3 linked regions of the Schizosaccharomyces pombe genome follow. The protein of the gene in region 1 binds, or shares a complex with, the protein of each later gene. Each region holds a gene or a part of one and is shown on either strand. Other genes may lie near its edges. The genes, in order: mrpl22, mrpl51 and mrpl16.

Region 1 (3,617 bases):
TATTAGTTATTTGCTTGATTAAGCGTTGCTTTTTGTGACGAATCTCATTATAAGCAGCCTTAAATGAATGCTTGGTGTGCTTTGCTTTTTGAAAAATCGTAACCGCTGCAATCTCAGGATCCTTCGTTCTTGAACCTAGTCGCATTACTGAAGCGCCTTGATGCAATAAACGAATCAATATTTGATCGACTGCATGATTCGTTTGGCAAGCTACTAAAATCGGAAGAACATGGGAGTGAGTATTCTCAAGTAATGTTTCTATGGCTTTAAGAGTAACAAAGCTTTTACCAGTCCCTGGAGGGCCTTGAATAATGGAGAGTCTCTTAGTCAGCATGGACTGGTAAGCTTTTAACTGTGACGAGTCTAGTATATACTCGCCAGGACCGAACGGCTCAAGAGCATTTACGATTTTTTGAGAGTTATTTTTTAAGATAGAATTTATGCGTATCCTAGGATTATTTTGTATGTGTTTAGCAGTCTCCTGATTACTTTTACAGTGTACCAAGTAATCCTTCATCGGGAATGTGCTAGCAGAAAGCCTCTGTAATGAACGAAGAACATGCTTGTAAGCTTCCCAATAGCCTGAAGTAGCTTCGATCATAACATATTCTTCTCGAGGATCTAAAGAGATACTAATATCTTCAAATTTGACATCTATTTCATGAGGATGTTTATTAAGGCCACTCAAGGGCCGCGCACAGACAGTTCCAATGCGAAAAGTCTGGAAATCATCATTGCTTAATAAAACTAAAGATCCACTGATAAGACGACGACTGGTAGCCCATTTTATTTTTTTCTTAGCGCGAACACTGAAGGATAATTTTGCAGCTATAACACTGGAAGATATTGTATAGCCATCTATCCGCACATGATCATATACGGCTAACGAAGAGCCGGTAATGTAATTGGGGTTTACCTTGTACCGAAGCACACTTTCTCGTAATGGGGAAACTGCGTCCTCACGTAGCAACCGATAGTGTATAGATAAGTAATCTTCAAAGGACTTGTATCCTCCGTATATGTTGTTTGAAGGTAATTCAACACTCTTTGACGTCAATTCTTCCAACGTTGGAATTGATGGTAGTTCCCGCCAAGAAGAAGTATCGCTTGCGGGATGGTGTTCGTTTTCGAATTCTCTATTTTTTCCCGATGTTATATCATTTCTCTTTACATTACTCAATTCATAATCGTTGTCAATGCTTCTCTTACGACGTATTGACTTGTTTTCTTTTAAATTTTTATCAACTTTGTTCCCCTCCGAGTCTTGGGTTTTGGAGGTTTCAGAAGTCTCGATTTGTTCTGTGAAACTCGTAGTATTATTATCGGCGTTAAAGATGTTGCTATACAATGGGTGTCTTTTCATTTCACTTAAAGTTTCTGGCTCGGGGATTTCATCAAACACAACTTCTGTATTTTTGTTCACCATTTCCCAGGCGTCCAGCGTACTTAACTTCCAAATTTCATCTTGTACTTGTTCCATAATAAAAAAGAAAAGGATAATATCCAAAAAATTTCAAAAGGTTATTGTACTAAAATATCTCAGTACGCGCCCACTAGGTCGTAATATTAATCTCGTCCTCCCCAAAGAAGCTAAAAGATATCATAAATAACAATTCATGTACAGTCTCTGCACCTGTCTCTAATATTATTTGTCTAACATACAAATGGGTTGTTTGTTTACTGCCAAGGGCCGTTTTCTGTCTTTACGTGACCATGCATTTAACGCGTTCAGATAATACCCGCAATGTGCAGCTTAGTGTGCCAGCATAAAGCATGTAAGCATGTGTTAACATCGTTGTAAAGTTACCTTATCGTAGTTTATCCATCCTTGAAATAGATTTACAAACTGAGTAGCTTGCATAGTGATAGTGAGCTCTCTCATTTAAGATTTTTATAACTGTATAAGGAGGGAAATGCTAACTGACCTATAACATAGTACAGTTAGCAATTCGTTAGGTTGCAATTCCTATTAGTACCACCTTGGCATGTAATATTTACCTGGTTTTGTTACAACATTGAGAAAGCGCATTTGCTCAAATTAGTCGAAAACGTTGACTTCTATGTGTGGAAGGAATATTTGGGAAAAAATTTTTAAGATTTAATTATGAAATACATTAATCAATTTATGAAAATATCAAAGGGCTTTTTAGTTCCATCGTCCACGATAGGATTGAATTCTAAAACGTACCATTACAAATTTCCATTACTTTCTTTTGTTAGAGAATTTTCAAATGGATCCTACTTAAGGGAGTCTGCACAAAATCCTGCAAATTTGGGTTCGCAAAAAGGGTCCGACATTTTCTCAATGCTTGCTAACCAGAAGGACGATTCTAATCGTCAGCAAAAGGAAGAGCGTGTAAAAGAGAGACCAAGGTCACGTATTTCTTTCAAAAAACAGGAGACCATGGATCCTTCCTACACCTTACAATCAATGGTGCTTCGCTCCTCTTTAAAGAAAGTCGGCGCTTTGTGTCGTCAAATTGCCCATAAGCCATTTTATCATGCTTTACTTCAAATGAAAATGTCAGATAAAAAAATTTCCAAGTACATCGCAACTGCTTTGGTTTCTGCTCGAGAAAACGCTGTTCGTGAAGCTGGTCTTGATGAGAGTACTCTCTACGTTGATCAAATATGGGTTGGAAAGGCAAAGTATTTAAAGAAACTTATCACTATGGGCCGTGGAGGTCGTGCCATTGAGAGATCTCCACGGGTTCGAGTTACTGTTGTTTTAAGAGATGAGCGAGCTCTCTTGCGCGATTTACAGCGTCGTCAACAAAGACTAGAAAGAAAGAAAGTTTGGACGCCTCTGCCTAACCGACCAATATACCTAAAATCTAACTTTTTCACTTGCTAAGTCATTATTGAGATGCCCATATCTTTGATACTCTAATAATATTTCCCCCCAATATCGTTTATAGTAATTCTAGTGCCGTTTTTTTTTTATGAGAATATGGTTTCCCTTATTATTTATTTCTTTAGCAACGCCATAATTTTGTATTTACCTCTATGGTGCTGATGGTATCAGTAGAAAAATAGTACTGTAAAAAGGTAAACTAACCAACCTGTACATACATCACTTTTAGTTCAATGATACGTTTTCGTAAAGAACGCAATTCTTTTTAAACTGTCTAATCTTATTAAATCATTCATGCAATCGTTTGCCTCATTAACATTTTTCAAATTTGGTTTGAAGCATTGCAACGAGCTTCTTTTTTTGACTTTTCAAAACGTGCTTTGGACCATATGTTGAAGCTATCCATATCTCTTCACCATTTTGACACATATTTATTGGTTCTAAATTCATCAGACACTTTTAAACAATCAAGCAAACCGAGTATAAAATATCATTAATTCCCCAATTATTAGGTGTAAAGGTACGCTGGATCCGCATTTTAACTCATTTGCAGTAGCAAATGATCAGTAGGAAAAAAAAGGAAACAAACCGCATCAAATAGACAGTAATTCTTTTTAATGGGCCATAATGAAAAAATAAGTTGAGATAGTAAATGTATCAACTATATTAACTTGAACCACAACAATGAGTTTTTTTTTTTAAACTGTGGGTAAAAATTAATTTAGAGAAAATCAGTGTTTTCATTTAAGAATGTTTGGAAATA
Region 2 (3,689 bases), on another chromosome or scaffold:
TTATCAACCTCGGACGGAATCTTTTGCTGCAGGTTTTCCAACCAGTTGTTAGTGATGGTATAATTCCTTTTAAGTTTATTAATGTTGGTAATAATCTTTGTAGGAGTATCAGGTATGGAATCAAACGCAGATTCAGTAAGGTCAACGTTTTTAGAACCAACAAAAGTTTCGGAAGAGGAAGCAGACTTGTTTGATGCTTCATGAATTTTAATTACATGTCTTTTCTTGACACGTTCTCGGCGGCGGAATTGTGAGGTACCATGACTACGACCAAAAATGGATGGCCTAGCCGTGGTGTCATTTGAACCAAGATAGTCTGATGCGGAATATTGGGTTGCAGGGGAAGATACAGCAGAAATATCATCAGATTGAGTAGTCAATTGCTGTATAATCGTATCGGGAGGAGTTGACCGGTATATGGACATAGGTATTGAAGGAGAAGAAATAGGAAGTAGTGCTTTTCTGGATAAGGCTAAAGAAGCAATAGATCGAATGTTAGGATGCGTTTGGACATCCAATGGGCCCATTTTAATTGGGAGATGAGTGTCGACTTTCGTAGATTCATGATAGTCGGGAGGACCATCTAGCAAATCTGGGTTATAATTAGCCAGAGAAGTATGAGATTGGTTAGGAGAAGTGAAAGGAATTTTTTGAAAAGATAGATTAGAGTCGGACTTGGCAAACCAAATTCTTGACATTTTGTATATGATGGAAGGAAGTTCTTCCTGAAACAGGGAGACCAGTTGCACCTCGATTTCTCTTTGTAAAAAGCGAGCAATAGCAGGAATAGAATCAAAGGAGGAAGATACACGCACGGATTCTAAAGGATCGTTTCGAAATACCACAGTGATACCTTTCTGCTTTGAAAACACCAAAACAACTATTCCGTTAAGCTTTAAGTCGGAAAGTCGTAAAAACATAGGCACAGTAAGCGGTGCACGAGATGCTAACATTGTATTACGAGAACTAAAACTGGGAACATTACTTTTTTGCACCGATAATGGATTGGCACGAATTTTTGTTTGCAAGACCAAAGAAGCATCACCCGAATAATGGAGATTAAAGAGGCCCTGAAAGCGGTCTGGCGCTAAGTCGCCAACCTCTAAAATTTCCAGTTGAGGAGGTTGGGGACCCAAATCCAACTCTTTTACAGTGATGTGGTCTGCAATCATCGAGTGTTTAGTGCCTTTGTTTAAAGCAGCCGTAAGCAAAGTGGTTGCTCGCTCATAGAATGACTCAGAGAACTGATCACTCCATCCCTTTACACGAAACGACATTCTGTTGATTTTCCTAAGTTATCTACATCAACTATGAAAAATGTCAAATTTTTTTGTAAGGAACCGTCTAGTATAGACTAAGTAACTAACGCTTTAGATCAATTTCTTTACAAAATTTTTATTAAATTCGGATAGGGAAACGACAACTTCCATACAGTGGCGGACAGTAAATAAACATCGATAGGCTGGCTGATGCACTAGTGCGGCATACTGAACCTTGATATAGCCAAGATAAGGATAGGGTCGATCGTACTGTATATGAACGAAGGTGTATTAGAATGCATTAAATAAATTATTACAAAATGCACAGTAGTTTCTTATGCTATACTGGTGAAATATATTTTCTTGCTATTCTGTTCATTTAGGAGGGATAAATAAAGCTTCATGAAATGAAATTCCTTAGATATTCAAATCAGAAATTCAGCCATTATTTTAGAAATGATATTAGTGGTGTTGCTTACTGTATTAATTTGCTATGTTGACAAATATCTAGGCTGAAGAACTTCGAGTACAAGAACCGATACAACTTTGCTCTTTCAGAAAAGGATATCTCTGCATAAATGAATGATATTAAATCAAAATTGTTCGTTTTAAAAAACCTATATTATGTTTGTTCGCAGTCCATGTACTACGTTAAAAAATCACTGTAAACTTTCTAGATATCATTATTTAGAGAAGAGCAGAAAGGTAAAGTATTGCAAAGTGTGTAACCAGAAACTGTAGGTAGACAGTAAACTTGATTTTGTTGCTAAAATTTTTTATAAAACTAATTGCATACTAAGTTTAACATTCTAAATCAATTGGAACAAGTATTGAAGTTTAGAGCAATTTGGGATTTGCGAATTTCCACACACCCCTTTACGTCTCCATACCGACTTTTCATTATTTCTGCAAGGATTTGCTCACCCAACTTTTTTCAATATAGCATATTAAGAATTCTGGTTTTTAAAAGACGGTATCCCCTTTTTTACGGCCTTTTACTCACTTAATGATGATTGAAATCATTCCTAAAATTTCAATTCCCAAAAATGGACTAGGTTCATTTACCCGCCCAGTAAGATTTAATCAGCTTTCTTTTTTTTTAAAAAAAAAAAAAAAAAAAAGATTGGCCTTCATTAACTTCGTATTACTAATTTTCTTTTTAGTGCCGTCGAATTGAGTTTTCGTATTGTAATTGGGGTGGAAGCTCAAAAGGCATGAAAGAATTTTTATCCACAAAGCTTGAGTCTTTGGCCAAAGAATCTCAAGATGTGGAATTTCATGTTACAAACCGCCAAGGCAAGCATCCATTAATCCGAGCTTATTACAGTACGTCCAAGACTTTTCTCTTATTATGGTGATCCTCTTAGTTTTATAAATATGAACTCCTTAAAATAGTGTTTTTTACTAATGCTACGATAATAGATACTGGTCGAGAGAAGGTCATTTGTACAAGGAAAATGTCAGCGTCTTCAATATTTCAAAAAGCAATTCTATGCAGAGATAGTGATGGTTTGAAACCTCGCCTCATAAAATATCCTGTTGAGTCAACAAACCCATCCGTTCGTGGTATTTGGAGTCCATTTTCCGATCAAGCAAAGCCCCATGAAATTTATAAGAAAAAGTCCCCTTAGATTCCTCTACAAACTACTTATTATTTCATACAAAAAAAAGAAAATTCAATTTAATCATTTTCGTTATGTTATTATGTCTAACCTTTTTGTCCGAAATACAAAACCCTATCCAAATTTATCTTCCCATAAATACTCTAGTTAACCAGGTAGTAAGTGTACAGATGTATCAAATCCCTTCTTTTTCAATATCAGGAATATGCAACGTCCCTTTTAAGCTTTTTAAAGAAACAGAACAGCCATAGCAAACATTTTGATTCTTAATACCTTCAACGGAATCCGGATGTTCAACCGTAGTTTTTTGTAACCAAGTCTCAGCATCTTCTTGCATTGGTAGATTACAGATGGTACATATGGCTTCTGTAGAAGGCACATGCAATTTTGAGCTCATTTTGACAACGGTGCTAACCAGACTTGGGAATGTATCATTCAGCGATGAGAAATATGATTCTGTAACGCCATGAATAGTATTAGGACGTGCTTCAATTAAGCTATCGCAGAAAGCTAATCCCTTAATGTTCATATACGACTTGAGGTCTGAAGACAAAACTTCACGTAGGGGACGTAGTAGGAAAGTATCGCAATTTGGAAGCTTAGAGCAGACAGAAGTGTACCATGGTATCGCAAAACCTCGACCCTCTGCCACAAGTTCAAGAACTCTTGCAGCAATTGTAGTACCGCTATCACCAAAAACAATGGTATCACAATTTGCCTTCCGGGCATAGGATACTAAAAGCTTATCCCGAATTCGGTAAAGTAAATCTTGACGCGAGGCTAACGAACTAATGACTTCTGGATTAAA
Region 3 (3,756 bases), on another chromosome or scaffold:
ATTCAATGAATCTGCCGTTACCTCGCGTGCCTTGGATGAAATGATTCATCCACTTCGTGAGCTCGTCTCAGAGTTTTCTGTTCAAGCTGCTATGCGTATAGAGGATTTTATAAGTCCTTCAGAAGAGAATATTGTTGATTCCTCTGAGGATATAATCAATCAAATTGCTTCGCAGTACATGGATGATCGCGCTTTCGAGACGGACGAAGAAGAATCTACTGAATTCCAGATTACCACTAAAGACGCTATGAAGGCGATCGAGCTTTTGCTAAACTATGAAGCTCAACAACCCGATGGAAATCCTGCAATCACGATTAGTCTATTAAATTATCAGAAGCTCCTTGAGGCAAGGGGTGGTAACGTGAATCTTTCTCGTTTGAGAAGCACCTAATGTCTGTATTCGTTGTGCATATTTGACTTTTTTGTTTTTGGTTTGTATTTTAGTAGTTTTAATTTTCTTTTTGTTGAGTTTGGATCCCTTACCTAATGAGTAATTTGCTTTTATTCCTTCATTTTAACTTGTTGCTCTATTTTTAATACCCGATTGCAACTGATGAGCTTATTTGATTTTTCTTTGTTTTTATTTTAATTTTTTTAAAAAAACCTTTTCGAAGTTTCTTAAACGCAAAATCGCTATACGAGCTAATGAAATTGAATATTATACATTTTGTAATTCATGTCTCGCAATCAAGTGCTTTTAATATTGATACTATTTATCTTTAAAAATAAAAACCGGCTAAATGTAAGAAATTTTTTTTTTTTATTGAGGCATATTTGTTTTTTTAAGGTCGAGATTAGATTGTAAATAGTTGAACCGTAGGGGTTAGAGCTTCAAAAAATGATAAATTATTACTGTGAAACCCGAATTTAATCCATTTACGCATGATTGATTTTATAAAAATGTACTTCTCTTTTGCTAACTGCTTCGTACTGTAAATAAGCTTACTTTACAGTTAAGCATTACAAAGGTATATGATGTAATGATATAAGAAATAATCAATAACGAACTTTGATGTTATACGTAACATGAAATAACGATTTCTCTTCGAGACCTAGACTAACATGGCGATGTTCATAACTATGGCGAGTAAGCACATTTCTATTTCTACAAATAACTCAAATCCTTTGCTTGAACAATCAAGCGTGTTATAGCTTATTGGAATTTTTTAAGACTTTTTACAGCAAGAATCAGTAAAATCAGAGAAATTCGAATTGGCAAGTCTTCAAGGTTGTGTCCATTCGGAATATTTATTAAAGTATGTCAACAACTAGTTCTTCGTCGACGTTTTCTACGAGAACAGCGTCTTTATCCCAATCATATACAAATTCATTAAAGAAGGAAGCTGCTCAAAAGACGTTAGAAAACTGGGAATATCAGGCTATTCACGCTTTGCAGAACAATTCTTCTTTTCCCGCGATACGTAGATCAATGCGCAAGATTTTAGCAGATCCTTCATAATTTCCTAATCCCATTTTTTGTTTTTTTTATAATCATGATGTGAGCAAGTTCTTGCTACAGGGGACAAAAGAGTTGCGCTTGGCATTCTTACGTTCGATTGTCCATACAATAATGTTTAGCTCGATAGAGGATCCTTCTAATGGTTTATAAACGTACATCAGAAGATTTTTTTAAGACAGTCTTAACATTCCAAATACCAATACTGAGGCACTAAACAGTTGAACGTTTTGTTATTCTTCAAGGACAAGAATTCCTTGACAAGAAATGAGCTAAGTATATTATTTGAAATAGCTAAAATAGTCACTGTTTTATTTCTATTCACGCATTGTTGTCATTGAAATGATGATGCTGAATCAAATAATGTGTTGAGCATAAAACGCACGTTAAATTCAGTATCTATGAAAATAATCTTTTTTGCCTAATGCTTAAGATAATTTTTTTTTTTTTTTTTACAAACTAATAAACAAACAAATAAATAATTATAGCTAATGTTCAGTTATTGTCCGGCTTCTTCCCGGAACTTAGTTAGGATAAGTGGCAGCAACACATACAGAATCCAAGTATCCTTTAACCCCCTTCTCATACAAAAAATAGCAGGCCTATTATCGTTACTATTGTTACCATTTTCCCATAAAAAAAGAAATATAATACTTAAATTTGATTATTTTGAATATTTCTGAGTAACTTTAAAGAACGACTTTTGCATGATAATAAAAACACGTTGTTTTATGACTTTTTGAAACCCTCACAACATAAAAACTTATATAATATGGCTTTACAACAATACAATAAATTTCCTTTCTTTTTTTCTGGTATTTTAGGACCTACGAGGTTGAATGGTTTACAAATGCCGCCTATCCAAACGATGGTTCGTTGGGGACACCAGTATGCACCCAGAAGCATCAGAAACCAAAAAGCTCAGAAAGGAAGAGTCCCTATACCCATAGGAGGTTCACTACGTGGTACTCAACTTGAATGGGGAGAATATGGTATGCGATTAAAAGATCGAAGTATAAGATTTCATGCCAAGCAACTCGAAACTGCCGAACAGATTCTCAAGCGTATATTAAAACCTATCAAGGCTGCTCGGGTATACACACGTTTTTGTTGCAATGTGCCAGTATGCGTAAAAGGAAATGAAACTCGTATGGGCAAAGGCAAAGGAGCTTTTGAATACTGGGCTGCACGGATACCAATCGGTCGTGTACTTTTTGAAATTGGTGGTGATGGAATGCGTAAAGAGTTAGCTGAGCATGCATTGAAGCAAGCCGCTTTTCACCTTCCAGGCAAGTATGAGATTATCGTCAAGCAAACCCCCAAAAGATTGGGTACCACACTGATTCATGAAACCCCCATTACCACCGAGACAAGCAAAATGAACTATCAGGAAATTACCAGTACTACTACAGCTGTTTAAGGGAAAAGTTAAGCTGAATTTATCTATTTTTAACCCATTCAATAATTACTTTTCTGTCATACTTCTCACTTACTTAGTTTGTGAACTTAATGCTGCATCTTTGTACAGACATTCATGAGCTTCTTTTCAATCGTTGTAGTTATTCTATGTTTTAGTGAATGAAATTTGCCAGAAATGCCTTAAAACATTGTACATTTTGCGCTATGTTTCATTATCTATTTTCGAAATGGGAACTTTCATCCCCAATGAGAGAGTTGCTTAATTTTTGTTGGCGAAATATGAACCACTTTTGATTCACTTTGATTACGGCTCGGCAATTTCGTTAAAACATCAAATTTCTTTGGTCCTGAAAAGTTGGTAACGGTAATGAGTGTTTTTGGCGAAAATCTTATTTGCTGCTCTCTGCTCCGTTGGGGACTTTTTTTCGGGATGTAAAAAACGGCACGTTGTATATGTGCGAAATCATGAAGTGAATCAAAAAGTACACTTTAAATAATATGAAACTGATTTTACTATGGAATTACGAATGAAATTATTCAAATCAACTCCACTAAAATATTTACAACGTTTACAAAAAAAATCACTATACCTTCTAGAACCTAGCTTAGCAATCCACTGTTGAGTGGATCAGTAACTTAATCATTACTACCATAGATCTGATTAAATCTCATCAAGATCGATCGGGATCTGTAAATCAATTTTCTACCATAAATTACCGCGGTTGCCTACGAGTTGGTAGTGACTGTTTCTTTCAGTAAATAAATAGGGTAGGGTCGAATTTTTTGAAATTCATACATACGTGCATCCTTGCTCTTAGTTGTCTCCTCTACAGTGATAAAAGATTTAGCTTAAAAAATTCAAAGCTAACAGGTTTCGGGAC

Evidence for each region.
Region 2: mrpl22 (region 1) and mrpl51 share a complex: the UniProt entries of both Schizosaccharomyces pombe proteins name them as parts of the mitochondrial large ribosomal subunit.
Region 3: mrpl22 (region 1) and mrpl16 share a complex: the UniProt entries of both Schizosaccharomyces pombe proteins name them as parts of the mitochondrial large ribosomal subunit.

The regions. Positions count from the first base shown.
Region 1 is NC_003421.2:2,027,518-2,031,134, reverse strand, and holds mrpl22 (mitochondrial 54S ribosomal protein uL22m), read left to right. Parts: upstream 1-2,000; 5' UTR 2,001-2,104; coding exon 2,105-2,854; 3' UTR 2,855-2,961; downstream 2,962-3,617. Other genes in the region: helicase Hrr1, read right to left, coding at 1-1,480. UniProt on the Schizosaccharomyces pombe protein: Component of the mitochondrial ribosome (mitoribosome), a dedicated translation machinery responsible for the synthesis of mitochondrial genome-encoded proteins, including at least some of the essential transmembrane subunits of the mitochondrial respiratory chain.
Region 2 is NC_003423.3:1,697,817-1,701,505, forward strand, and holds mrpl51 (mitochondrial 54S ribosomal protein mL43), read left to right. Parts: upstream 1-2,116; 5' UTR 2,117-2,265; coding exon 2,266-2,331; exon of another isoform or gene 2,332-2,422; coding exon 2,423-2,585; exon of another isoform or gene 2,586-2,681; coding exon 2,682-2,890; 3' UTR 2,891-3,056; downstream 3,057-3,689. Other genes in the region: protein Mdm34, read right to left, coding at 1-1,277; cytosolic thiouridylase subunit Ctu2, read right to left, coding at 3,057-3,689. UniProt on the Schizosaccharomyces pombe protein: Component of the mitochondrial ribosome (mitoribosome), a dedicated translation machinery responsible for the synthesis of mitochondrial genome-encoded proteins, including at least some of the essential transmembrane subunits of the mitochondrial respiratory chain.
Region 3 is NC_003423.3:3,507,406-3,511,161, reverse strand, and holds mrpl16 (mitochondrial 54S ribosomal protein uL16m), read left to right. Parts: upstream 1-2,028; 5' UTR 2,029-2,228; coding exon 2,229-2,876; 3' UTR 2,877-3,639; downstream 3,640-3,756. Other genes in the region: ARS-binding protein Cbp1, read left to right, coding at 1-391; protein tam12, read left to right, coding at 1,259-1,459. UniProt on the Schizosaccharomyces pombe protein: Component of the mitochondrial ribosome (mitoribosome), a dedicated translation machinery responsible for the synthesis of mitochondrial genome-encoded proteins, including at least some of the essential transmembrane subunits of the mitochondrial respiratory chain.